7 linked regions of the Canis lupus familiaris genome follow. The protein of the gene in region 7 purifies or fractionates together with the protein of the main gene of each other region. This does not show direct contact. Links are inferred from orthologs where the notes say so. Each region holds a gene or a part of one and is shown on either strand. Other genes may lie near its edges.

Region 1 (4,099 bases), on a different chromosome or scaffold from region 7:
GGTTGAGAACATTGTTTGACCCAGCAAACCATACAAGATCTGTTTACAGACATTTTTATTTGTACATAATACAGGGCAATCCTATTTTGCCTTTTGAGAGAATTTAAAAGGAATAAAATATTAAGACACTATTCTCCTGCTATAAAACAACTGCCAAAGTTGATTCAAGGCATTTAATGCTAGTAGTTTTTTAAAATCTCTTAGTTGAATCCAAGAAGCTATATAAAGCAGGAGGCTTATCTTGTCACAAAGTTAAAATGCTCTTATAACAAAATGACAAATATAAATAAGAACAATTCAGAGCACCAATCTACTCTAAACACCAACCAAAGTACAGAATAGTCATCACTCTGCCATCTGCAAATATCAGACTTCCATTCAAGTAAGAAGACCTGGTACTATTCCCCCTTACAGAAAACTCCTCCCTCCCTTAAATATTTCTCTTTTAAAGGCTGACCATTTCTAGAAAAATAATGATTTCCAAAACAACCAATCTGTTTTTCATTAAAATGGAATGGGTCAATCATCTGGTAACACAAATGCATTAATATCCACTTGAAATAATGATCTAAGAATCATAAAATTCAAATCGAACAACATAAAGTAACTACTGAATCACAAACTCTGTTCAAAGTAATAAACTTCATATAAAGCACTTTCTCTGGATTGATGCCGGAAAGCTGTCTGTCAAAACGGAACACGTCATAGATGAAGGTACACCCATTCTTAAAAACGTTGTGCAAAAATACATTTTTATAGAAAACAGATTACCAGGAATGAACAAATTTACACCGTGAGAAACTAGCTTGCAAATTATAAGTAGCGCCAACTTTATACAGCAAATTATAAATAAGCAGTAGGATCACCCCAAGCCATCATGAAACATTATTTAGGTGCCCAGCAACCTTCAGCTCTGAGGAGAAAAACATTCAAAAAAATGATTAAGGCATTACACCTACAGTAAATCTACTAGGAAGTTTAAAAGTGCTATTACCCTGATTAGAGTTCGTAATTCTCCCAACACAAACTATGTATGCAATTCTCCCAGGGTGTAGGTTTTCAGACACTTCAAGAGCATGCATTTTGTTCGATATACATTTTGGATAGGGATATGGCCATGGACTTGGCAAGTTCTTCGTCGCGTTTCCGTTGCACTTGAGTCTGTCTGCACCAATTGTCATACTCGGGGTTAGGATAGGAGTGATCAAACACGGCATCATAATGTCCATTACTGAGCCAACTGAGCCAAATGCTAGGCCGTAGGGAATCCTCTGGGCCCAAGTAGTGAATCATGGTGGACACCGTGGGGCTCTCCAACCTCCCTCCAGTCGTTAGATGTATGTTCACATTCAGCATCTGCCCCATGGCCAGCAGTTCCGGGTACCCGGCCCACGCCCCGTCCTGAGCAGCAGCGATGATGAACTCCCCCACGTCGCCCTCAATCAGGGGGCTAAAGTGGTCGAGGTGGTCGGCGATGTAATGCACCGTCTGTTCCCTCAGCTCCCGGTGCAGGCTCTGGTCTCCGTACACCGTCTTGCTGACCGCTCGGTAGAGGCAGTTGCCGTCGGGAATGATGTGGAACCGGTACTTACTCCTCTGCCGCAGGTACTTGTCCTGCCTCTCCACCTCCGCCAGGTACAGGGCCAGCTTCTCGTCCCTGGGATCCGACCTGGAGACCACCACCGCCTCCGCCGCGCCGCCCGGGGCCGCCTCGCAGCTCCGCGCCGGGGCCGCCGGGGCCGCCTGGGCCTCCGGGTCGGGCCGCCGCGCCTCGTCCGCGCCGGCAGGGTCGCTGCGCTCGCCCGCCCTCTCCCAGCCCCGGAGGCTCCTGTCCGCCGGGTGCTCGTCGCCCCACGGGCCGGGGCCGGGGCCGGGGCCGGGGCCGGGCTCCGGGCTTCCCGGGGGCGGCGCGGGGCCTCGGTGCTTGGCGGCGGCCAGGGCCTGGCGGTGCTCGCTCAGTCGGAAGTTTCTGTCGGGACCCTCCCGGGCCGCGTCGAGGCCCGCGGGCTCGGGGCAGTCGGGCCTCAGCAGCTCCTCCAGCAGCCAGGCCGAGGAGCCGCGGCGCGGCGGGAGCGGGGCGCCGGGCGCCGGGGCCAGCAGGAGGCAGCGGCCGCGCGGGGCGGCGGGCGCCGGGGCGCCGGGCTCGGGCCCGTGCAGCAGCAGCCGGTCGGCGCCCAGGGCCCGCACGGTGATCTGCGCCGTGGACGTGTAGTGCGGCGGCAACGGCGGCTTGCACGACCCGGCGGGCGGGCCGGCGGCGGCCGAGGCGGGGGCGGCGGCCCCGGGCACCACCTCGAAGCAGGAGGAGAAGGCGGGCATCTTGGCGGCGGGGGCGGCGGCGGCGGCGGCGGCGGCTTCTCGGGGCTCGGCGGCCGCGGCAGGCTGGCACTCACCGGTCTCGGGCTCCGGCTCGCCGCTGGCGGCTCCGGGAGGCTGGAGGGAGACCTTGAAGGGGGCGGCGGCGGCGGCGGCGGCGGCGGCGGGGGCGGCGGAGGCTGCGGCCGTGGGACCCGGTGCCCCGGCTGGGTAGTGGGTGCAGACGCTGCTGTAGAGCTGCATGTCCCTGCCCGCTGCTCGGGCCCCTTATAGGCGCGGCGAGCCGGGCTGAGGGGGACACACCCTCCGGGCCCGGCGGAGGGGGCCGGCCGGGCGCGCTGACCCGGCGCCCCTAGAATAGAAATGACCCAAGGGCCGCCGGCCGCCGGCGCGTCAGGAGCCGCAAATAGCGCCCGGGTCCCCGCCAAATTCCTGCTGCGCCACAACGCGCGGTGGGGGCGGGGAGGGGACGCGCGCTCGACCCGGGCCGGCGCGCTCTTCCCGCACACCCGGGGCGCCGCGCCCGCTGCCGCTGCTCCGGCCGCGGCGGCCGCTGGGGACTTTCGGGGAAAGCCGCCCGCCCCGCTGGAGCGCGTCCCGCCGGCGAGGAGCAGTGCAGGGCGCGCGGAGGGGCCGGGAGGCGGGGCCGCGGTTGTTTACCTCAGGCCGCGCGGCCGCGTCACGTGGGCCCGTTGGAATGTGCGGCTCGTTGCGGCGCCCCATTCAGCCGCGCGGGCTCGCCCCGCCCCCCGGCCCGCGCCCCGCCCCCCGGCCCGTTCGGCGGACGTCACGGGCGGGGCCCGCGGCGCAGGGGGCGGGGCCCGCGGCGCAGGGGGCGGGGCCCGCGGCGCAGGGGGCGGGGCCCGCGGCGCAGGGGGCGGGGCGGGAGGGGCCGCCGGACGCTCCCTGCTCCTCAGCGGCGGGTCCTGGCGCCGCGCCGCGCTCCTGCTCCTGCGGCGGCTGCCGCGGCGGATCGTGGCGGGGTGGGCGCTGCGTGGGGAAGCTGCGCCGCCTAGACCCCGTGCGGTTCGAAGGCAGCTTCCGGGACGGAGCGTAGCCTTGTAACCCCCTGCAGGGCCAGGGCACCGCTGCCGTCCTTTTGATTTCAGTTCTTTGGGTCACAGTGTTAAAACACCGTGACGCCCCGCGTCCACCCGCGATTGCTGCCTTGCCCAACCGAAAGCAACTTTTCTGCACCCCTCGCCCCTGTCAACGGGCAAACACACGACTTGGGCGATGGGAAGCCCTTCCAACAGCCTTTGGAAGATCAGGTGCAGCCGCCCACCGCCCACCGTAGGTCAGTCGTGATGCCTGCCGAGGCCGAGCAGAATATTGGAAAGAGTTGTGCTCACCGGTGCTAGTCGTATCCTCTCTGTAAAGGGAAGCCAAAGTGTTCGATTTGATCAACCGAGTGTTGGTTATACTAGCGGGCAGGTGTGCTGTGTTCTGAGCTTCCATCACCTGCAAGTAACAGGCCCTAAGCGTTCATACTGAACGTGGAAGCTCTCTCACCTTTTTTAAGAAATGGGGAAATAGGGACGCCTGGGTGGGGGTCAGTGATTGAGCATCTGCGTTGGACTCAGGTCGTGATCCCAGGGGCCCTGGGATCAAGCCCCCCCCCCCCCCCCCCCCCCCCGCCTCCCCGCATCAGACTTCTCTCTCTGCCTAGGTCTCTGCTTCTCTGTCTGTGTCTCTCATGAATAAATAAATAAGTAAAATCTTAAAAAAAAAAAAAAAAGGAAATGGGGAAATAGCTGTGGACTGTGGCGCATGCTTCCACCCA
Region 2 (3,500 bases), on a different chromosome or scaffold from region 7:
GCGGCCTTGGCCCTTACTCTCTATCCAGCAGGAGAAACAGACGTTTGGCAAATAAACACACGTACTTCTATGTGCAAGTGAGGGGGGAGAGGGTGTGGTGTTCTGGACAGGGAGGCAGCATGTGCAAAGCCCCTGGGGTGGGTGAGGGGGGAGATCCTTGATTCTGAGGATCCTGTAGGTCCCTTGAGCAGGTAAGGTGGGGCAGCGGAGACATGGAGCCAGGCCAGGCCTACAGGAGGTGGGCCTTGAGTGGAATGCAAAGAGGAATCTGCCAGCTGGCTACGCTCTAACCCTGCCCTGGCTATGCCTCCCGGTCCTAGATCCTGAGCAACCTGGTGATGGAGGAGCTGGGTCCTGAGCTGAAGGCAGAGCTCGCCCCACGGCTGAAGGGCAAGCCACAGGAGCGACAGAGGCAGTGGATCCAGGTGGGTGGGTGCGGGCACAGGGCTGGGGGTCCTATGGCTGCCTGGAGCCCTCGCTCGGATTCTGACACCGCAGCACTGCCCACAGATCTCGGACGCCGTGTACCGCATGGTGTACGAGCAGGCCAAGGCACGCTTTGAGGCCGTGCTGGCCAAGCTGCAGCTGGCCCGGCCAGCCATGGAGGCGACCATCCGCACAGACATGGACCAGATCATCACCTCCAAGGAGCACCTGGCCAGCAAGATCCGAGGTAGGCAGGTCACCTGGGGCTTCAGGAGCCAGGGCTTGCCTCCCTTCTGTGCCGACCTGCATACTTTTCACACTGGTGACTCCATTCATTGGTCATTTTTAAAAGTGAAAGCAAATCTGAGCCATTGGTTCTCCCAAGCCCTGGTAGTTTTGTGGCTATTTCCGTGAACCCCAACCTTGAGGGTGTCAATCTTGTCATGGCAGTTCGAGCCTCTTGCTCAGTTTTGGTCAGTCTTGGGCTTGACTGGGTTTGCAGGCATCGATTTCATCGCGTGATTCCCTCTGGTCACGTCTCACTCTTTGGGGTCAGTGTGTGTGTCTTCCTGTTCTCGGCCCTGTGCCCTCGGCCCTCCCTGCGCCGTGGCCGCAGGTAGCTTCTGGGAGGGTGAGTGCCTGAGGCCCCTTCTCTTCTCACCGCGTTCATTGTGAGCTGCGTAGAACATGGAGAGCTGACAGTATCTTATCAGACAGCCAACTTTAGCTAGGCAGAGGAGAGGGAGGGACCCCAAAACACCCCCACGGGCAAGAGGCCTCGTTCATGGCTGCGTGAAGCCAGGCACGCGGGTCCAGAGCAGGGGCCGGCTCGGTGTGTGCTGAACCCTGAGACTCACCAAATCTACCAAAGCGTGTTTTGTTGCATTAAACAACAAATAGCAGCGAGACTCCTAGAGACGGGTTCTTTCCACCCTGAGTGAAGCAGAACGCTGACACCTTTGGACTAAGTGCTTTTTCTTAGTTTGCCATCAGAGTTTTAGAAATATCAGGGGCCAATCTCAGAATCCCTTGTTCTTTTTGATGCATGGACCTATGAATCCTTCTGTTGGCTGGTGTCGCGAGTGGTTTTCTTTTTTTTTCTTTTTTTTTTTTTTTTATGATAGTCACAGAGAGAGAGAGAGAGAGAGAGAGAGAGAGGCAGAGACACAGGCAGAGGGAGAAGCAGGCTCCATGCACTGGGAGCCCGACGTGGGATTCGATCCCGGGTCTCCAGGATCGCGCCCTGGGCCAAAGGCAGGCGCCAAACCGCTGCGCCACCCAGGGATCCCGCGAGTGGTTTTCCGTATAGCGATAGTGTAATAGTGTGCCTGGGGGCTCTGGTCCGTGCACTCACCCGGCTGCCCCTGGGTGCAGCCTTCATCCTCCCCAAGGCAGAGGTGTGCGTCCGGAACCACGTCCAGCCCTACATCCCGTCCATCCTGGAGGCTCTGATGGTGCCCACCAGCCAGGGCTTCACCGAGGTGCGGGACGTCTTCTTCAAAGAGGTGACCGACATGAACCTGAACATCATCAACGAGGGCGGTGCCGACAAGCTGGGTGAGGTGAGGCCAGGCCCCTGGCCCAGGGATGGAGCCCCTGCAGGGCCCTCGCTGTGACTCAGGGCATCACCTGTCCCTAGAGGGTCTGCTGGAGACTAAGGGCCTGAGGGCATGAGGCACTGGAGGCAGCAGAGGAAAAGGGATTGGTGATCCCCTCTACTAGGCAGGTTACTGAAGTATCAGAGGACTTAACAGAGGAGGGAGAGGAAGGAAAGAGGAAGAGGGAAGGAAGGAGGGGGGAGGGGGAAGGAAGGAGGAGAGGAGGAGGGAGAGGAGGAAGAAGGGAAGGAGGGATGGAAGGAAGTACAATTACTGAAGTGCCATGTCATGCTGCTCCCCCTCCCCCTCCATGGAGATGGCCCATGCCTCTCCTCAGTGGTCTGGTTCTCAGGGGCACAACCTTCCTTCCACAGACCCCATGTTGGGGTCCTCAGTGTCTGAAGCCCTACATGGCTGTGGGGTGCAGACAGAACTGATCCTGTAATCTTTGCCCTCCTCTTCCACACTGGAACTGAGGGGTCCATAGACAATAAAAATCACAGCATTTGAGAACCATATAGGACCTCAGAGATCATGAGACAGTATCTCCCGATTTTGAGGCTGAGGAATATGAGGTTCAGAGAGGGTGAGTGACTTGCCCAAGGTCACCCAGGAGAACCTGTCCCCTGGCTCCAGCCTTCATATCCTCATCCCTCTGGGCCCCCACAGCTTAGCCTGCAGGTGGCACCTGCAGGTGGCCAGACCCACGTCTAGGGGACTCCCGGGGCCCAAGTGAGCTGTGGGGCTGCAGGGACTGCCTCTACTCTGGGGGGCCCTGCTCAGGTCCCTGCGTCTCCGCTTCCCTGCAGTACATGGAGAAGCTGTCCCAGCTGGCGTACCACCCCCTCAAGATGCAGAGCTGCTATGAGAAGATGGAGCCACTGCGGCTCGATGGGCTGCAGCAGCGTTTCGACGTGTCCAGCACATCCGTGTTCAAGCAGCGAGCCCAGATCCACATGCGAGAGGTGGGCCCCAGCACCCACGGCCGCCCACTTTCCACAGGCCCGCTCTCCTGGGGAGAGGCCCTTCCGTCCACGACCGTAGGCCCTGGCCCTACCTCCTCTGGTGCCACACAGCAGCCGCGCTCTGCCCCTGGAGTGCTCACTCCTGCTCTGGCCTCTTGGGTGCTCCCCATCTGCTGGCACACCTGTGCCTCTGGCTAGCCTGGACTCCTTTTTTCAGGTTTCATCCTAGAGACCCCTTTCTCCAGGAAGCCCTCCATGTTTCCCAGGCCCCTTCATGCAGGGCCCAGGACCTCTGTTTCCTTGAGGCAGGGACTGGATGCCCCACACAGTGCCCACGCACAGACATTCAGTAAAGGTGTGGGTGAACACGAGTGCACAGCCTCCCTTACCCCCATGCAGACCTCAGAGGCATGTGGGCAGAGGTTGTGGTCACTCCTGGGCCCTCATGTACCCCACGGTGTGCCCTGCAGCAAATGGACAACGCCGTGTACACCTTTGAGAGCCTTCTATA
Region 3 (3,500 bases), on a different chromosome or scaffold from region 7:
TACTCATGAGAGACACAGAGAGAAAGAGAGGCAGAGACATAGGCAGAGGAAGAAGCAGGCTCCATGCAGGGAGCTCGATGTGGGACTCAATCCCAGGACCCTGGGATCACGCCCTGGGCCGAAGGCAATCTCTCAACCCCTGAGCCACCCAGGTGTCCCTAGAGTGGGATAGTCCTAATCCCACATTCTGGTACCAGTGGGTAAAATCCATATAAGGTGCACTTAGAAGTATCAGTTTTATGAGCAAACTTTCTTAGAAAGGAAAAACAGTATCAAACTAATTCTATTTAAGTTCTTTTCATATGGTAAGTAACAGATCTAAGCTTTTAAACTTGCAGAAATGAAGCTATGACTCATTTCATAGTTTTTAGCCCTTCTTGGTTTTCAGAGGAGAGTCTGGAACCTCAATAATAGTTTGATGTTTAATGAATACTTTATTATTTTGGAAGATAATTACATTTGTGAAAAATTGCTTAGTTAATCTGAAATTTTTTAATTCAAACTTTATTTTCAGAATGAAAAATGTCACCTGTTGGTTGAGCATGAGACTCAGAAACTGAAGGAGTTAGATGAGGAACACAGCCAAGAATTAAAGGAATGGAGAGAGAAATTGAGACCTAGGAAAAAGGTAATTTTTTTTAAAGATTTTATTTATTTATTCATGAGAAACACACAGAGAGAGAGAGAGGCAGAGACACAGGCAAAGGCAGAAGCAGGCTTCATGCAGGGAGCCCGATGTGGGACTCGATCCCGGGACTCCGGGATCACACCCTGGGCTGAAGGCAGGCGCCAAACCATTGAGCCACCCAGGCGTCCCTGGAAAAAGGTAATTTTAAAAGCTTTAGATAAAATATGTTTGTGTTCATCCATTTATCCACTCAGTTATTGGCTGTTTATCTAATGTGTGTCAGATACAGTGTCAGAGACAGGAGATACAGAGATAGAGACAAAATCTGTTCCCCAAAGGTTCAGAATGTAGTAACAAGCAATTACAGTTCAATAGGATCATTGCTTTGAAGGAGGTAAGAACAGGAGACAGTGTTAAGACCAAGGCCAAGGACTGCTTCAGTCTGCCTGGGAAGTTAAGGAGGCTTTACAGAGGAGATGCCTTATAAGCAAGTGAGACTTCAGGATGAGTAAGAGCTTGCTAGGCATTCAGACAGGTTGGGGTGTGATTGGCAATGTAAATACAGAGAAGAGAATGGATGAAAATGATGTGTATAAAAATTGTAAATAGCTCCTTGTCATTGGGGCACTGAAGGAGTGTGCCTGTGTGTAGGCATTAAGGAGGGAGAGAAGGAAGGAAGTGGTGACAGCTTAGCCTGGACAAGTTGACTGAAGCCAGATTATAAGGCCCCAGTATGATAGTAAATTCACAATCAAGTAAAATAGGCAAGGTCTCCTCTCCCCATCCAGCTATCAGTCTTTTTTATACCTCCTTCCTTTTTGATTTCCTGCTGGCCTGGTCCAATTGGTCAACAATTGCAGCTCATTTTTTTTTTCTATAGCTTTGTGATTGTCTCCCTTTGCTAGCTCTCAAACTTAAACCTTTATTTTTCTTGGCCTTCCTTCCTGCTGTACCTTTCAACTGTTCTTTCTTCATTATCCAGTTAGTCAGTCAAGAAAATCTGTATTTGGCAGCTACTGTGTGCTAAATGTTTCTGGAAGAAGTGAAATAACAAGTCAGTTGTTAGTGTGGCTTTTTAATTTAAATTTTATTTCTTGTTAAATTTTTGGATAGATAATACATTCATGTGGATTGGAATTCAAAAGGTACAGAAGAGCCTTTTTCCAGTTTCTTTAACTCTTTGCAATCTAGTTTTCATCTCATACTCCCCAGTGGTCATAAGTGAGTTGCTAACAGCCTATGCTATTATCTGTTGTCATTAGAAATCTTGTTTCTTAAAATTGTCTTCTCATCTGACTTTTATGACCTCTCTTCTTTCTCTGTGCTCTTTATCACTTTTTGTCTTCCAGTCACCTGGAATGTAGATATCTCACAAGTTTACAGCCTTGATGATCCTGTATCTTGTCATGGCTTATCTGCTGCATATTTAAGGACGGTCACAGAACTTGTATAGTAGGGGTTGTATAGAGCACAAATTCTGAAGTCCTACAGATCTCAGTGCTAACATTTAATTTTGTCACTTCACATTCCTAAGCCCAGTTTTACTCATTTATAAAACAAAGATGACACTACCTACCTAATTTGGGTTGTTAAGACAGTTAGAAGGAGTGATGTGTGTGTATGGCGCTTCCTAATACCTGAGCTGTAGTCAGGGTTTGATGAATGGTTGCTGTTGCTATTGTATATTGTTTGTTATTATTGGTTCATGCTCTAAGCACACATTTTCCACCTGGATGGTCCATTCCTTCTTATTTCATTCAGGCCTCTTTTCCAATATCATCTCACCAAAGGTTTCTTTTTCTGGTGACTATATAAAATAGCCTCCATGCCCACTTCAGACATTCCCTGTCCCCTCATCTTTGTCTTCCTTTATAACATTCTTCAGCACCAGACTCATTCGTTTATTATCCATCTTCTCTCACAAGAATGCATGCTCCTTGAAAGCAGGAGCGTTAGTTACCTCGTGGTTTACTGGTATATTTCATCTTCTAGAACAGTTCCTGGTATATTGTAATGATTAGTACATACCTTTTGAATGTTGACTAAAGATTGTAAGCTCGGTGGAGATCAGACTGAACTCAGCAGGTTCATCCATGTCACCACTGCCCTTTGTTTTTCCCTCCCCACCTCACTGCCCCCACCCCATGCGGTCCCTCCCATCATCAGTGTGCTTCTCAACATCCCTGTCCTCCTAGTTGACATACAATCTAGCAACCTGAATTGTCTTGTATTTCCATCACATCTCATGTCAGTGAGATGACAAATAATTTTAACTCTTTTTATAATAATTCTCTTTCACATTACTATCATTCTACTGCTTAAAAATGTTCAGTAATGTCCTTAATGGGCCTTCTGATCTCAAATTCCTTTTCCTTTCTTCCTGTGCTGTCTGCCATTCACTGGAGTATTTATATTTAAGAATATCTCTGATACTGGCTTGTGGTGATGATAAATTTTTAATTCTATCAGAATAAAATAGCAATGTCTCACTTTGACGTTATGGCCATCATAGTGCTATATGTACGTTGGCCACAGTCAAACTTTCTAGTATCATCTCCCATAGACCACTTTGTTCCCTGTTCATATTCCAGTATAGGGTATAATCGCCATTACTCATACTAAGTTCATGGTTTCCTGCCTGTGTGCATTGCTTTAGCACCCTCTGTCTGGCATGCCTTCTACATCCTGTCTATCAAATTCTTATCTTAACTTCAAGACTGAGCTCATGTTTCACCTCTTCTGAGAAACCTTCCTATATCTTTCCATCTTCTGCTAAGCTTTGTGCCTCTGCAGCAGCACTTATCCCTGAATCTCTTGTCCACAAAACCTTTGATATCTCAGGTATTTATCAAGCACTTACTATATATATGCT
Region 4 (2,747 bases), on a different chromosome or scaffold from region 7:
TCACCAGAGGCCGTGCATGGGACATTGGAGGGGAAATGACCCCGTTCCTGCCAGCCCTGGTGAAAGGTCCAAGGATCAAGCATGGTGAGCAAGGACCCTGGGCCTACATTTGGATAGTCCTGTGGGCCAGCCGGTGGGCTGTGTCCTGTCCTGCCCTGTCAGACTCATCACAAGAGGAGATCCCTCAGCTGTTAAAATGCCCAATGCACACTTTCTAATGGGTCCAGGGGGTGTCTGGGATTCCAGTTACTTCAAATTTTTCACTAAGTGAACTTTGGTTAAATACATAAGCACCCAGCTGGCCTAACTACCTCCAAGGGCCTTTGGTACATGGCTGCTACTCAGGGCAGGCATCACTCATGAGGGCTCTGGAACCTCCGTTAGTGCCAGGAAGTGAGGCAGGTCCAGAGGACACAGAAGCCTCCTGGGGGCCCAACAGCCAATGCTGGGGCAGCCAGTGCTGGGGCAGCCAGAGCAGTGAAGGGACGAACATGGTGATGGGTTCTAATCCACAGTGCTAAATACAGATCTATGAGTCTATAATCCTACAAATAAACAGAGTAAGAGTGAGGTCTTACAGAAGGATTTCAAATAACAAATGACAGACAGAAATGCAAAACCACCATTAGGTGAGCACCACCACTGTATCTGTTGTGGCAGGAACTCCCAATGGGCTAAAGTCAGTCGGTATAAATCAGAGGGACAGAAGATTTGCACTGTCTCCCAAGACGCTTACAAATCACTGAGGGGGAAAAACCGACTGTACGGTGTGAAGTCCAGCGCACAGTGCCTGAACCAAGTGACCGTGTTAGCATCACCCAGAATGTGCCACTGACTTCTCGGGCACCCCGACCTACCCTGGACAAGTGGATCACATTTGTGCTATTCCCGCCATAAATACACGATCATGGAAAAACTCCAAACTGACATTCTCCCAGAAGGCTAAGGTCTCCAGGGAAGAGGCACTGGCACAGGCTGGCAGGAAGGATGGTGGGCCAGGGAACCTATGTCACCCCTCACCGGCACACGATGTAGCGGATGACATTGGCATGGCAGATGAAGATCTCGTAACTGTCTTCCTGCTGCTTGACATCTGCCCGATGGATGTAGTTCCGGAAGGCGGCCTCAATCCGGGCTCCATCTTCATAATACTGCTGGGGGCAGAGCAAGGAATCTTAAGGATGGCCACGGCATGCAGGCCGCAGGGCATGCAGGCTGCAGGTCGGGGGGGCTCGGGGGGAGTGGGGCTTTTACCACAGCCTCTGGCTTCCAGTGGGACACAGGCGGGTCGGGCTCAATGGGGGCGCCTTCCCTCAGCAGGTCTGTGCTGACCTTGCAGACACCTGTAAGAGAAGCCGCAGCTAGGTGCTGCCCCTTCAGGACTAGCCACCCAGTGTGCCCTGGAGATGCGGGGCACTCACCTGGCAGGTGCTTGCTGATGATGTCACTGGTTTCTATGGCTCGGGTCATAGACGAATGGACAATTTTATTAAACTTCAACCCCAAGCTTGCAAGTCGGAGCCCAGTTAGTTCAGCCTGTTCACGACCTTGAAGGTGAAAAACACCAGAGAATTATAGGTTGCTGGAGTTCCTCTTTTGTTTACTTCAGAAATACTCCAGTCCTTTACCAAGTGCCCTTACGGCTGGGGAACAAGACGGGCAGACCCTCCTGGGGTTTGGCCCTAACTAGGGGCCAAGCATTTGACAGGTGGAAACAATGAGATAATGCAGTTACCTTTAGCTCCATACAGAAGGAATGTTAATGACCAAGGTTGAGGATCCCTGAGATCTGGGATCCTGTTCCTATCTTTGTGTCCTTTATGCCACTTTTAATTTTGTCCAAACATGGAGTTGCAACGTGCCATGGATCGACCAGTTGTGCATTATCACAGATGTCAACACGTAAAGACCAAATGGCCTCAGCATTCACTAAGTACAGTCTGTGTACAAATACAAATCTTTTTTCTCAAATATATATTTTAGGGATGCCTGGGTGGTTCAGTGGGATAAGTGTCTCCCTTGGACTCATGATTTTGGAGTCCTGAGATTGAGTCCCAAGTCAAGCTCCCTGCGTAGCAGGGAGTCTGCTTCTCCCTCTCCCTCTTCCCCTCCTCCCGCTTGTGCTCTGTCTTGCTCAATCTCTCAAATAAAATTAAAAAAAAAAAATATATATATATATATATATATATATTTTAGAATCTAGATGAAAATGCTCTCAGAAGGTCAGTTTCAAGTGCATGTAGCACTGAATGTGCACAGATGGCTAATATCCTATCCAACAAAGACATCTTTAAAAATGTAAACCTTATCTCAGACCACCCTGTACTTCCTCTCCTAGGAATTTCTTCTACAGATATGCTTGCACATGGGCACAAAGACCACGGTGGAAGGGCATGCCCCGCAGTGCTGCTCACGATGGCAAGAAACTGCAATAAGTAGCACTCCTGCCAGGGAGATGGTTAGAGCTATCACTCAATCCTGTCTGTTTACCATTATGAAGCAAACTTTAAACAGATCTGCAAGTGCTGAATAGAAGGATCTTCAGCAACAGGTTAAGTCAAGCAGAACAGGGTGCATGGGCTATGCCACTTACAGAGCATCAGGGAGTATAGAACACCTCTGCTGTGCTTTGGGTCTGATCACCTGTGAGATCCACCATACATTTTTTAAAGTTGAGGAATTTTTTTTTTCAAGGATTTTATTTATTTATTCATGAGAGACACAGAGAAGCAGAGACACAGGCAGAG
Region 5 (4,295 bases), on a different chromosome or scaffold from region 7:
TGGTTTGTGCCCAAGGCCAGGAAGGGGGAAAAGTTCTCATCCTCACACTCCCTGCCCTCGCTCCTGAAGTCCAAGGTGTTATTTTCTCCTTCAGGACAGACACATCCATCCCCCACATCCCTGGCGGCCCACCCTCACCCCAGGGACCCAGGCATCCTGCCCCCCAGCCCAGACTTGTTCCTCTTTTGGAGACAGGAAGCAGAAAGACCAGAGGATTTAACTCTTTCTCCACTGCTTCCTGCCTCTCTCCCACTCCCTGGTGGCCACCCCCAGTTATCAATCATGGAGAGGCCTAGATGCAGGGGAGCGGAGACAGGGGCCTGAGGGCAGAAAGGACACACCGCCAAGCCCTCCATCCCACCTAGTTCATCACGTCCTTGGAGAAATTTGACTTGGGACAAAGCTGCAGATGGGGCTGGGATGAGTGGCTAATAAGAAGACAGACCGTCACCTTTGGAATGGTGCGTGGTGCGGCCAGGGAGACTTTCTTTTTACCCCTCCCCACCAACCTGGACAGCTCCTCTCCCAGAGGCCCAAGCACCTACCCCCATCTGGGACCTCCATCCCCCATGCCTGAAGCCAGAAGGGGTGAAACCAAGACAGAAGGTGAGGGCCAAAGTGTGAAGCCGACATCTCTGTGATGGCGAGACAGCACTAAGCTATAAGGAAACAGAGATGGAGGCCAAAGGTAACAAAGGCTTAGAGAAAGAAAGAAGGTGCAGGATATAGGGGAAGAGGGAGCCTGAGAAAGAAAACAAGGCTGCATGAAGAGGAGGATGGACTACTTCCCAGGAAGAGGGCAAGAAGAGAAAAGAGGGACAGACACGTGTTGTTGGAATGGGGAGAGGGTGGTAAGGAGGTGGAGGCAGGGAGGCCCAAGCTGGAGGTTAGGCCCAGGCCCAGATGAACAAGCACCACCCCTCAGGTGTCTCCCTGACCCCAGAACCCAGCTCTTACCTGCCCCATCTCCTCTGGAGCAACCAACTCCATCCTCAGCCGCAGGGCTCCATCCTTTGATCGGGATAGTGGAGGGGTCCCTGTTGCTGAGCCCCCAGCCTCCACTTCCACCCTCAGGGAGGGCAGGGGCGTGGCAGCCCGGGAGGGGCCGGCGCTATCCCCTGTCCTGGGCTCTGGGGGACGCTGCTGGGGTGGGGAGGCTGACAGAGGGGGTGTCTCCACCTTGGCTTTACCAGGTACTGCCAGCTGGCCCAGCCCCCGGGTTAAGGAGCGGGCCTGAGGTCCAGGGGAGGTAGGGGGCGGCCGGAGCCAGGAGGTGGGGCCCTGAGACAGGCCTGGCTGCGGGGTTGGGGCACCCAGGCCCAAGCTGGCCAGCTCCAACCTGGAATCCAAAGATCGGCCCCCAGTGCCCCCCGAGGCCCCTCGAACTCCTTCCAGGAGCCGGCTGAAGCCAGGGGTCTCCAGGTCTCTCTCGTAAACATCCACACACGTCCAACGGCCTCGACGATAAGGCTCTCCCAGGCCATGGGGCAGCTTTACCACCCGGAAACGGGAGGCGGGGGCCCCAGGTGGTGGGGAGCCGTTCCGGGGGGTGCTTTTGCCCCCTGGCTCGGGGCTGGGCTCCCCGTTAGGCAGACGGGGTGGGGGCGCGGTGGGGCCCGGCAGGGCAGGGGGCTCTGAAGACCCTGGGCTCCCTGGGCCCTCATAGTCCGTGGTGACGCTGGTGATTTGAAAACTACTCTTCTTCTTGCCCCCACTCATGGTCCCTGGGGCTCAGGACTCGGCCAAGGTGGGCAGGGGGTGCAGCTGGGGCTCCTCCAGGGGCTCAGGCACCCCTGGAACAGGGGGGCCACATGGCGGGGGCATCAGGGCCCCTGGGGACATCTGGGTCCGACATGGCAGGAGGGCTTTGCAGGAACTGGGGGTACTTGGCTGGTAAAGGGAGCACAGGGCAGGGGAGGTGGCAGGAGGTGGGGGCAGGGGCAGGGGCAGGTTTTTCCTGCCCCTGGCGCTGCCCAACTCCAGAGCTGAGTTTGCAAACTGGAAAGAGAGAGAGAGAGAGAGAGAGTGTGTGTGTGTGTGTGTGTGTGTGAGAAAGCAGTGGGCAGGCCACCTCTGGGGCTTCCTCTCTGGGGAGCAGGATGGGGGAGGAAGGGGAAACCACCAGAGACCCAGAGACAAAGAGACTGGCAGAGACGATTGAGACCAGGAGATCCCAGCGGTCCCACAGAGTAGGAAGGGGCGGCCCAGACCAAAGTTGGGCATTTCTTGCCTGGGATTCAGACTCACAGGACCGAGTCGCCCGACAGCAGGAGGGGGCTCCAGGGCCTTGGACGAGCAGGGGTGAAGCAGCTCCTCGGTCGGCCCCGCCGCCGGGAGGCCTCTGCCGAGTGTCCAGGCTGCCCGCACCCCAGCTCCCCGATCCCGGGCAGGCCCTGCCCCGCTGCCCCAGCGCCCCGCCCAGCCAGCCCAGAGCCCTACCTCTCGGCCTCGGCCACCGAGCTGGGCCGGGGGTCCCGGAGCCTACGATGTCGGGCTGTCCTTCCCGCGGGGGGCGCGGCGGCGATCAGGGGCTGTCCGCTTCTCTTCGGGGGCCGCACTTCGCCCCGCAAGGCATCTTCGTAAAAAGTTTGCTCGCCAGAAAAGAAGGGACCCCCGCCTCCTTGGTGGAGCCCAGGCGCGGCCTCCGAAGCCCCAAGGGTCCCGGGACTGGTGAGGGAAGAGGCGGCTCTGCCCCCACCCCGATCCTCCAGGTGGAGCCGCCTAGGTGGCTGGGGCGAGCAGGTCTCTCAAATCTCCTCCGCGTGGAACCGCTGGGTCTCTCTCCGCTCCTCGGCTCTTCTCTCCGGTCTCTCTGCCTTTCTCTTTCTGGGCTGTTGACAACCCCCACACCAGGAAGTCCTGCCTCCTCGGGCCTGCTGACTGCTCCTCTCCTCCTCCTCCTTCCCCTCTTCCTCCCCTTCCTCCGCCCTCTCTGCCTCCTGGGGCTCCCGGCCAGCTGGCCCGGGGCCAGGCCTGCCACCACCTCTGCTGCCACTGCTGCTGCTGTTCCTGCCCCCCCCCCCCGCCCCCCCCGCAACAGGCTTAACCCCACACCTGCTGGGCCCCAATCCTGCGTTTCCTCGGAGGGAGGGGCCGTGGAGGGCAGAGAGAAAAGGGGAGGAGTTTGCCGGGGGGCCAGGGATTCCCTTACTTGTAGGCACTTGCTGCCATTGGCCTACGGAGAGAGCAAGAACTTGCCAACCAGGGGCTCTGCTGGGTGCCCGCCACCCCATAAGCTGCTGCTCAGCTCTTGCCATATCTTCACTGGTGTTCACAGTAACTCTATGAGGAAGGTTCCGTTATTCTTTCCTGTCTTTATTTTAAAACGTGGATTATGATGACAATTTGCAAATGGGCCCCCAAGTAGAGAAAAATGATAAACTCCCAAGTCCCCATCGTGCAGTTTCAACAATGATCAGCTCACAACCAACCTGGGTTCTTCTATACTCCCAATACCTCTTGTTGTGCTGTGCTGGAGTATTTTTAAAAATCCCAGGCACCATATTATCCCTCTTCTTAGATGTGGATATTGAGACCCGGAAGGTTCCGAGAGGCTGTCAGTGGTACAGCTGGAACATTCTACACACTCAGGTGTGCCCTTGTCTGGCCCCTATATAAAGAAACAAAGAGATGTACTCAGAAATGTGCTGACTTGCACTTTCTCTCCAACCCTGGTCACACACACATGTATACATAATGTACACACAGATGCACCTGAGGACAAGCCCTACCCGCCCACCTCTCCCATCCCATCCCTTCTTTGCTATTGGAGAAGCCACACACACACACACACACACACACACACACGAAGGCCTTACCGAATTACCCAATGCCTGGAATGAAAAAATAACCCTCTGATGGCCACTTTCTCTTTTATGGCACCCTCAACCAACAATCTGAGCAAGAGCAGGGTTGAAAAGCCACATCTGCCTTCACTCCTAGCTTTGGAAGGAATTGGATTCTAATTAATTTTGGTCAGATGGAAGTATTCTTGAGCATATTGAAAATTTCTCATATTTGCCTGCTTTATATAGTTATTTCATGGACTATAAACAGTCGGGGGCAGAGATGGGGTAGGTTTTGAGCTTCAGCGTTTCCGCGGGAGGAAACAGAGGCTCCCAGGTAGTCAGTTATTTGCCCGAGGCCCCAGAGCTAGTATTTGATGGCATTGAGACTAGGACTGGGCTGACACATCCCTCCCTCTTCAGCTTTCGCTCATGGAAATTTTTAACCATTCTTCAGGGTTAGGGAAAAACAAAATGATGCCTCCTGCCTGGATGTTTATATATTTATTC
Region 6 (3,500 bases), on a different chromosome or scaffold from region 7:
AGGGGCCTCGCCTCAGCCGCGAGCGCACCCCTCACCAGAAACCCCCACGCCAGAAGGCAACGGGAGGACACACGTGAAAAGCGCTGAAAGAAAAAGTCTATAAAGCAAGAACTCCACGTCCAGTACAGCTAGTCTTCAAAAACGGAGAAATTCAGACATTCCCAGATGGGCAACCACTCGGCAGAACTTGTCACAGCCGATGTGCCCGACAGGAAGCACGGAAGGACCACGGGGAAGGGAACCACACAGGGAAATACCCAAGCGGTACAAAGGTCTTTCTCCTCCTAACTTTTTCCCTCCGATTTAAAGACAGGAGCGCAAAGCAGGACTGTAACCGCGCGGAGGAGCGCCGCCCACGTAGGACACGAGCTCGGCGCCAGTCGCGGTAAGTGGAACGTGACCAAACCGTCTAACTCAACACGGGAAATCGTTGGTTTCACCCCAGACACACCTTGGTTATCTCATCGGAAATGCTGTAGTCCAGGAACCTCAGGAGGGTCAGGTAGATGCGGAACTTGTTGAGGACAGAGGGGAGCACGGCGGACAGGAGGCTGTCGGTGTACTCCTCCATGTTGGGCGGGATGAGCTGGGGCTCCAGGTGGATCTGGCAGTCTGCCTACGGAGACCAACGGGACGCGGGGTTTCCCACGTTCCGAAATTAATCCAAAATTTCGGGAGGAGGCTTCATCTGTATCAGCCCGCGTAGCAATCGAGAAATACTTTTTATTACCGGAGGGGGGACACTTTCTAACATTCGTTTATAAGCACCGTGACTCCCTCGGCGACAATTACAGAGGTGAGCGTTTCTTTGGTTACTTACATTTCCGCAGGAAGAGCAGTAAACACACAAAAAGGTAACCAACCTCTAAAAACCAGCTAATTAAAATGTTTTCAAGGCTTTCTTAATCCTGGAATATGTGTACGTCTTACTGATCTCTCTGTCTAGAAACCACGTAAAGCAAATCACACTTTCCCAGAGAAAACTTACCCGGGGGCCATTTCATTCTCGTTCACGGGCAGTTTCTCATGAATCACAGTGAACATCAGTTTACAGAGAAACTCTACACCTTTTAGACAACGGGGCGTACTTCTCATCATGAAAAGACACAATTAAAAGCTCCCTGCATCAGTCACTCTGATGATTTATCAGAGCATTTCACCATAAAGCATAAAAATAATTACCATGTCATCAGGAACATTTTTAAATGTCTTAAAAGGAATTCTGAACTATTCCTCACGTAAGATTGGCAGAGACAATAGGACGGAGGCAGCAAGAACAAAGGTCTAGATGTGAATCAGGCAATTTACAGAAAGCTTCTACTTTCTCTGCCTGGGTGTGGGAGCTGCTGCTACCGACAGCTTTCCTCTGCTCTTCTTGGGATTCGCCGTATCTGGTTCTTCACAGGTTTTCATTCCCACAGCGGGAACAAAATAATCAATTCTCTTACTGATAATCAACAGCCCCAATTCTGAAACAAGTTTAACTCCTCAATAATAAGCCATACCAAGAAACAAAAGAATACAGGTATCTTTCCAACGTAACCTCCCTCCATCTTAACATGTCTCCTCGTACCGGCAGGAGTGATCTCCCCTCTGAAGTAATAAAAACATTAATATTGCAGGGGAATTCCATCTGGTGGTAACTGAAGTCATAATCCACCTTCTGCCAAGTTATTAGGTTGCTCAGGGCAGTCACATTATGAACACCTGAAAAATAAAAAAATAGTGATTTTTTAGTCATTTGATTTTAATCACCTAAACAATTTGGTTTTATTGACACTGATCGTAAGACATGAAGTTTCTACTGCTTTAAAAAGTTATCTCAAGCACTGTTCGACCTCCTAAGCTAAATGTTTACTAAGTAATAGGCTTCGGACAATACTGGTCAAGCTAAACAAATGTATTTTGGGGCCAGGACCTCCTAAAATCTAATCTAGCATCTGGTATACAACTAGGTACAAGATAGGTTCCCAGTAAGTACAATCACTTTCTATGTGACGTGTACAGGTCTAGCACAGTATGATTGAACTAAAATGATTTTTACGCATAGAGATAAGATTATTGAGTTTTACGGATTTTTATACTCATCTGTGCCTTATTAAGTATACCCAGTCCACACTATTTTTTTCCTTCTACCTTTACTTCTTGAACTTACCCCCCAATAAAGTGTAGTCTTCTACTAAATATTTTTTTAAGAGATTCTTTGAAATAAAAAAATAAAAAACTTCATATTGGGCAGTTAATGTTTTATTAAATCTTCTCTACACTTTTCTTTCTTTTTTTTAAAGATTTTATTTGTTCATGAGAGAGATAGAGATAGAGAGAAAGAGAGAGAGAGAGGCAGAGACACAGGCAGAGGGAGAAGCAGGCTCCATGCAGGGAGCCCTATATGGGACTCCATCCCAGGACCCCAGGATCATGCCCTGAGCCGGAGGCAGATGCTCACCACTGAGCCACTCAAGTGCCCCTACACTTTTCTTTTTAGCTAATATATGACTGAAGGCATAATCTCCTCCTTTCTTAGCCTTAAAGAGCTCCTTGCTACATCCTTGTCCTGTCATCGTACTATTTTCATACTAGGACAAAACACAGCCAATGTACACAATTTCTAAGTCTATAATATCCACATTACACTAATTCATATGGCAAGCCTTGATCCAAAATGCTTGTGAAATAGAAGTTTGTCTCTGATTGGTGATCCTTTTATTTAAAAAAAAAAAACAAACTTTATTTTTTTAATTTATGATAGGCACACAGTGAGAGAGAGAAGCAGAGACACAGGCAGAGGGAGAAGCAGGCCCCATGCACCGGGAGCCCGACATGGGATTTGATCCCGGGTCTCCAGGATCGCGCCCTGGGCCAAAGGTAGGCGCCAAACCACTGCGCCACCCAGGGATCCCTGATTGGTGATCCTTTTAAAAGTCAATACCAGATCTGGCTTTCATGGGAGATTAGGAATGAAGAGACACACTCAAGTCCATACCTGGTGTGTCCAGCTGCCCTTGTTCTAGGAGAGTTTCATCAATCACAAGGGAAGTGTTGTTCGGTAGCTGGAGGAGCCCACTGACCAGGCGATTGGCTGTATAGTCTTTGTGGGGGATGAATTTCAAATGGTTCATGTTCTCTATAGTCATCTGCAGACGAAAAGACTGCGAAAAGAAATTTTTTAATGAGCAAGGAACAAAGTTTCCTGTTTTAAGGAAGTACATATATGGGGTTAAATACTTTCCATATGTGTGTAAGGAAAGATCTTATATTAATTTCTAAGGCTATAGTTTCATGGTTTCTTGAGCTCCTAGAGAAAAAATCTTACATATCCACCTTAAATAATAAATCTACAACTTAAATAAGAACTTCACTAATTCTGTGAGCTGCTTTACTCTCAACTGTTTTGTTCGGTATTCTTAAAAAAATAATTTCGATTTTACCAGGAAACGAGAAACAAACAATAGATAATTCAGATACATTTACCAAACATTCAGAAGCTCAACTTCTTTTAC
Region 7 (4,189 bases):
CACAATTCTAAGATCATGACCTGAACCGAAATCAAAGTCAAAGCTTAACCAACTGAACCACCTAGGTGGGCACCCCATCCTTTGTTTCTTAAATTCCACATATGAGTGAAATCATATGGTATTCATCTTTCTCTGACTGGCTTATTTTGCTTAGCATTATACTCTCTAGCTCCATTCATGTTTTTGCAAATGGCAAGATTTCATTCTTTTTTATGAATAATATAAATATATACATCTTCTTTATTTGTTCATCTATGGATAGACACTTAGGCTGCTTCCATAGTTTGGCTTAGATGGGCTCTTGTTAAAATAAATACATTTAAAAATTAACTTTATATCATAATCAGCATGAATGGCAAATCAGTATCCCTTGCAGTGAAAAATAACAATTAGGGCAGCCCTGGTGGCTCAGCGGTTTAGCGCCGCCTTCAGCCCAGGGTGTGATCCTGGAGACCCAGGATCCAGTCCCACATCAGGCTTCCTGCATGGAGCCTGCTTCTCCCTCCTCCTGTGTCTCTGCCTCTCTCTCTCTCTCTCTCTCTCTCTGTCTCTCATGAATAAATAATAAATAAAATCTTAAAAGAAAAATAACAATTGTTCATATCCACTGGGCACTAGCATTCCCATTTCACCCTTATGATCACCTTGCAGGTAGGTTTTACAGGGAGGAAATTGAAGCGTGAACAGGTTGAGGTAGGGACCTATCCCTTCGGAGCTGGACAGTGGCGGAGCCGGGCTTCAAACCCCTGCAGGCGAACTTCACACACCTCTAGACCGGAAGTAACTAAAAAATAAAGATAAGGAGGGGCGCCTGGGTGGCTCAGTTGGTTAAGCCTCTGCCTTCAGCCGGTCAGAATCCTGGAGTCCTGGGATCCAGCCCCGCATAGGGCTGCCCGCTCAGCGGGAAGCCTGCTTCTCTGTCTCCTTCTGCCCCTTCCCACTCGTGCGGGAGCTTGCTCTCTCACTGTCTCTCAAATAAATAAAATCTAAAAAATAAAAATAAAAACAAAGAAAAGCCAACTAGGTAAATAAATCTAGCCGGATCCTTCACCACTGGACCCAGAGCTGCGTGGGGTTAAAGGGAAAAGAGAGGGTCGGGGAGAGCAGCCACACGCTGAGATGCTGAGATCCGGGGGATGGAAGGGGCCAGCGCAAGTGGGGACGGACCCCCTCCCCCCCCGCCGCCGCCCTGCTCCCTCGCCGTCGCCCGCTCCGCGCCCAGGGGCGCCGGGCACCTGCGGGAAGGGCGGGGAATCGCGGCTCCCTCCCCGCCGCGCCTCTCCGCCCTCTCCCCGCCTCCTTCCCCGCCGACCCGAAGTCGCCCCCCCACCCGACGTCCAAGACCCCGCAGGCTTTGACGCCCCAGAGCCAAGGTCCCCCCAACGGCGGCCGCGGGCGCCCCATAGCGAAAGTTAGGTGGGAGCCGCCCCCGGCCGGGCCGCGGAGGGTTGCTCTGGGGGTTTCCGGGAAGCTCTGCGCACGGGGGCACCCCTGTGCCCGGAGCCACTGCGGTGCCCCGGGCATCCCCGCCCCGCGGCCGGAGCTACGAGGCTGCGCGGGGGCCGAGGTGAGCGCGCGGCCGGGGGGGCTGCCCATCCACCTCCAGTGCAGGCAGGGAGGCGCCGGGCCTCGAACCCGGGCTGAGGTTCCCGGCGGCTCCGACCACGCGGCCGGGCGCGCCGCAGTGACGGGCCCGAGTGGTCGCCCCGCCGGGGCTGCGCAGCTCCGAGACCCGCGGCGGCGGGGGGGGGCGGGGCGGGGCGGGGCGGGGGGCGCGGCGCATCCGTCAGCCCCGCCGCCGCCGGAGGCCCGGGCCGCGGGGACTCTTATTCTGACACGGCCGGCGCCCGGCTCTGCTTAGTCATGGTGACCTGCGCGCGCTCCGCGCCTCCCCCCGGCGCGCAGCGATGGAGGCGCCCGGGCCTGGGCGACGGAGGCGGAGCTCGAGCGCGGCCATGGCGGGGTGAGTGAGGCGGCCTGCGCCCGGGCTGTGGGTACGGCGGGCCGGGACGGCCCCGGGGGTCGGGGGACGGGGCGCCGCGGGCCCGGGCGCCTTGGGGTTCCCGCGGCCCCGCGGGGGGCCAGGAGGGCGAGGCCCGAGTCCTGGCCTTTTGTTGGACGGCGCGACTCGAGGGCTGGCCCGGGGGCTACGCAAGCCGGCGAGAGGCCCAGGCAGCGCCCCGCGACCGAGGGCCCCGGAGCCCGGCGCGCCGGGGAGCTGGGAGCGCGCCTCGGGGCTGCCAGCGGAAAGGCCGCGGCAGGGTCACTTCCTCCCTTCTCCGGGCCTCGCTGGCGGCTCGGGCAGGGCATGCGCAGTCCCCCCACCGCTCGGTGGGGAAGAGCCCGGTGTCCAAGGGGCACCGTCGGCCGCCTGGCCGGAGACCAAGAGGCTGGGCACGGGCCTCGGGCGGGGAGAGGCGGCGAGCGGCCCTGGGCCCGGTGGAGGAGGGTGCTCCGGCAGGCAGTGAGGCGGGCAGCCGGCCAGCCAGCCACCGCGTCCTGACCCCTGAGCAGTGCCAGGCCCCAGGCAGGACGTTGGGGAGGCACATGCTAGGGTGGGCGCGACCCTGACCGACCCGGGGCTCCCTGCCTCCCGAAGCGCGGGGCTGAGAGGCGGAGGCGCCCGCCCGCCCTCAACAAGCCAGCGGCCGAGCTCATCGCCGTTTCCGACAAGTGCGGTGGTAGAAGTAAGACAGGGAGGAGAGGACTGCGCTGGGTCCGGGAAAGATAAAGGGAGAACCCGGGGAGCCTCTTGCAGATGCCCCTCTTCTCCCGACAGGACCTTTCAAAACAGCTCGTGCCCTGGCCCTCCAGCCTCCTCAGGGTTCACGGAAACCTTCCCTTTAGCAGGATTTCTTGTTACACTCCTCCCTGATGCTCCAGCTGGTCTCTCTCGCTCTGCCTCCGAGCCTTTGCACTTGCTATTCCCTCTGCCTGGAAAACCCCTTCCGTGTGTGCATCCTTCTTGTCTCCGCTCTAACAGAGCCCCCGACTACCCGATTTAAAGTAACTGCCCCAGGCCACACTGTCGCAGTGCTGTGGTCCTTTTCTTCATAACCCCCCGTTCCTACTCAGGTCTTGTTTGTTTTACTTATGGCCCATCCCTCGCCAAGTGTCCTCCAGGGGGGCACAGTTTATGTCTGCCTGTCTCCACTGGGATGTCTCCGGTTCCTGGTACACAGTAAATAATCAGTAAATGTTGGTGAGGCCAATGAAAGAATGAGCTAGATGTGCTCTGTCTAGGAAGGGAAGAGGTGGACAGAGGCGGACTGTGTAGGGCTTTAGTAGGACACTGAAGAGTTTGGTTTCACTCATTGTGCTGTAGGGAATTGTGGGAGGATTCGGCACAAGGGAAAGACATCATCTCACCTGTGTTTTAAATTGGACTCTTGGGCTGGTGAAGCCATGTGGCGCTGAGTGAGCACAGACGGACATTGCTTCACCTGGGCTTGGGAAGGAAAACTGGTCTAGGAGTCGTTTTATCGTAAAAGAGGAGGCCTGCCCCCAGGCCCTGCCCCCAGCCCTGTGCTCTCCCTCCTCCAGGCCTCTGAGTGCCAGTGGTGGTGTTGTCCCTTGTCACCTGGAACCCCATGCAGCCGGAACCTGGGCCTAGCGGGGCTGGGGCCCGCACTCGATTCCTTCCCCTGAGGTCACAGCGCCCCGAGGGGGCAGGGGACACGGTGATGTACGCCTCCACCGAGTGCAAAGCCGAGGTGACGCCCTCCCAGCACGGCAACCGCACCTTCAGCTACACGCTGGAGGACCACACCAAGCAGGCCTTCGGCATCATGAACGAGCTGCGGCTCAGCCAGCAGCTGTGTGACGTCACGCTGCAGGTCAAATACGAGGACGCGCCAGCTGCCCAGTTCATGGCTCACAAGGTGGTGCTGGCCTCATCCAGCCCCGTCTTCAAGGCCATGTTCACCAATGGGCTACGGGAGCAGGGCATGGAGGTGGTGTCCATTGAGGGCATCCACCCCAAGGTCATGGAGCGCCTAATTGAGTTTGCCTACACGGCCTCCATCTCCATGGGTGAGAAGTGCGTGCTCCACGTGATGAATGGCGCCGTCATGTACCAGATCGACAGCGTCGTCCGTGCCTGCAGTGACTTCCTCGTGCAGCAGCTGGACCCCAGCAATGCCATTGGCATTGCCAACTTCGCTGAACAGATCGGCTGCGCTGAGCTGCA

What was found.
Region 1: the proteins of KEAP1 (region 7) and OTUD1 purify together in Homo sapiens (affinity purification with western blotting; 3 studies listed by BioGRID, with this or other methods). This does not show direct contact. The link is inferred for Canis lupus familiaris from reciprocal best matches to the Homo sapiens genes KEAP1 and OTUD1.
Region 2: the proteins of KEAP1 (region 7) and NIBAN2 purify together in Homo sapiens (affinity purification with mass spectrometry; 3 studies listed by BioGRID and IntAct, with this or other methods). This does not show direct contact. The link is inferred for Canis lupus familiaris from reciprocal best matches to the Homo sapiens genes KEAP1 and NIBAN2.
Region 3: the proteins of KEAP1 (region 7) and SLK purify together in Homo sapiens (affinity purification with western blotting; 3 studies listed by BioGRID and IntAct, with this or other methods). This does not show direct contact. The link is inferred for Canis lupus familiaris from reciprocal best matches to the Homo sapiens genes KEAP1 and SLK.
Region 4: the proteins of KEAP1 (region 7) and PGAM5 purify together in Homo sapiens (affinity purification with western blotting; 6 studies listed by BioGRID and IntAct, with this or other methods). This does not show direct contact. The link is inferred for Canis lupus familiaris from reciprocal best matches to the Homo sapiens genes KEAP1 and PGAM5.
Region 5: the proteins of KEAP1 (region 7) and TSC22D4 purify together in Homo sapiens (affinity purification with mass spectrometry; 4 studies listed by BioGRID and IntAct, counting the BioPlex papers as one, with this or other methods). This does not show direct contact. The link is inferred for Canis lupus familiaris from reciprocal best matches to the Homo sapiens genes KEAP1 and TSC22D4.
Region 6: the proteins of KEAP1 (region 7) and MCMBP purify together in Homo sapiens (affinity purification with mass spectrometry; 3 studies listed by BioGRID and IntAct, with this or other methods). This does not show direct contact. The link is inferred for Canis lupus familiaris from reciprocal best matches to the Homo sapiens genes KEAP1 and MCMBP.

The regions. Positions count from the first base shown.
Region 1 is NC_049223.1:7,654,088-7,658,186, forward strand, and holds the start of OTUD1 (OTU domain-containing protein 1), read right to left. Parts: upstream 2,801-4,099; 5' UTR 2,560-2,800; coding exon 1,069-2,559; 3' UTR 995-1,068; intron 1-994. UniProt on the Homo sapiens protein: Deubiquitinating enzyme that specifically hydrolyzes 'Lys-63'-linked polyubiquitin to monoubiquitin.
Region 2 is NC_049230.1:55,934,577-55,938,076, forward strand, and holds part of NIBAN2 (protein Niban 2), read left to right. Parts: intron 1-320; coding exon 321-425; intron 426-510; coding exon 511-673; intron 674-1,800; coding exon 1,801-1,988; intron 1,989-2,833; coding exon 2,834-2,989; intron 2,990-3,459; coding exon 3,460-3,500. UniProt on the Homo sapiens protein: May play a role in apoptosis suppression. May promote melanoma cell invasion in vitro.
Region 3 is NC_049249.1:16,533,864-16,537,363, forward strand, and holds part of SLK (STE20-like serine/threonine-protein kinase), read left to right. Parts: intron 1-514; coding exon 515-628; intron 629-3,500. UniProt on the Homo sapiens protein: Mediates apoptosis and actin stress fiber dissolution.
Region 4 is NC_049247.1:426,355-429,101, forward strand, and holds part of PGAM5 (serine/threonine-protein phosphatase PGAM5, mitochondrial), read right to left. Parts: intron 1,548-2,747; coding exon 1,422-1,547; intron 1,344-1,421; coding exon 1,255-1,343; intron 1,175-1,254; coding exon of another isoform or gene 1,155-1,174; coding exon 1,021-1,154; intron 1-1,020. UniProt on the Homo sapiens protein: Mitochondrial serine/threonine phosphatase that dephosphorylates various substrates and thus plays a role in different biological processes including cellular senescence or mitophagy. Modulates cellular senescence by regulating mitochondrial dynamics.
Region 5 is NC_049227.1:9,141,326-9,145,620, reverse strand, and holds the start of TSC22D4 (TSC22 domain family protein 4), read right to left. Parts: upstream 2,801-4,295; 5' UTR 2,440-2,800; intron 1,999-2,439; 5' UTR 1,720-1,998; coding exon 958-1,719; intron 1-957.
Region 6 is NC_049249.1:30,250,686-30,254,185, forward strand, and holds part of MCMBP (mini-chromosome maintenance complex-binding protein), read right to left. Parts: intron 3,150-3,500; coding exon 2,984-3,149; intron 1,708-2,983; coding exon 1,574-1,707; intron 617-1,573; coding exon 452-616; intron 1-451. UniProt on the Homo sapiens protein: Associated component of the MCM complex that acts as a regulator of DNA replication.
Region 7 is NC_049241.1:51,048,502-51,052,690, forward strand, and holds the start of KEAP1 (kelch-like ECH-associated protein 1), read left to right. Parts: upstream 1-1,389; 5' UTR 1,390-1,567; intron 1,568-1,806; exon of another isoform or gene 1,807-1,963; intron 1,964-3,543; 5' UTR 3,544-3,590; coding exon 3,591-4,189. UniProt on the Homo sapiens protein: Substrate-specific adapter of a BCR (BTB-CUL3-RBX1) E3 ubiquitin ligase complex that regulates the response to oxidative stress by targeting NFE2L2/NRF2 for ubiquitination.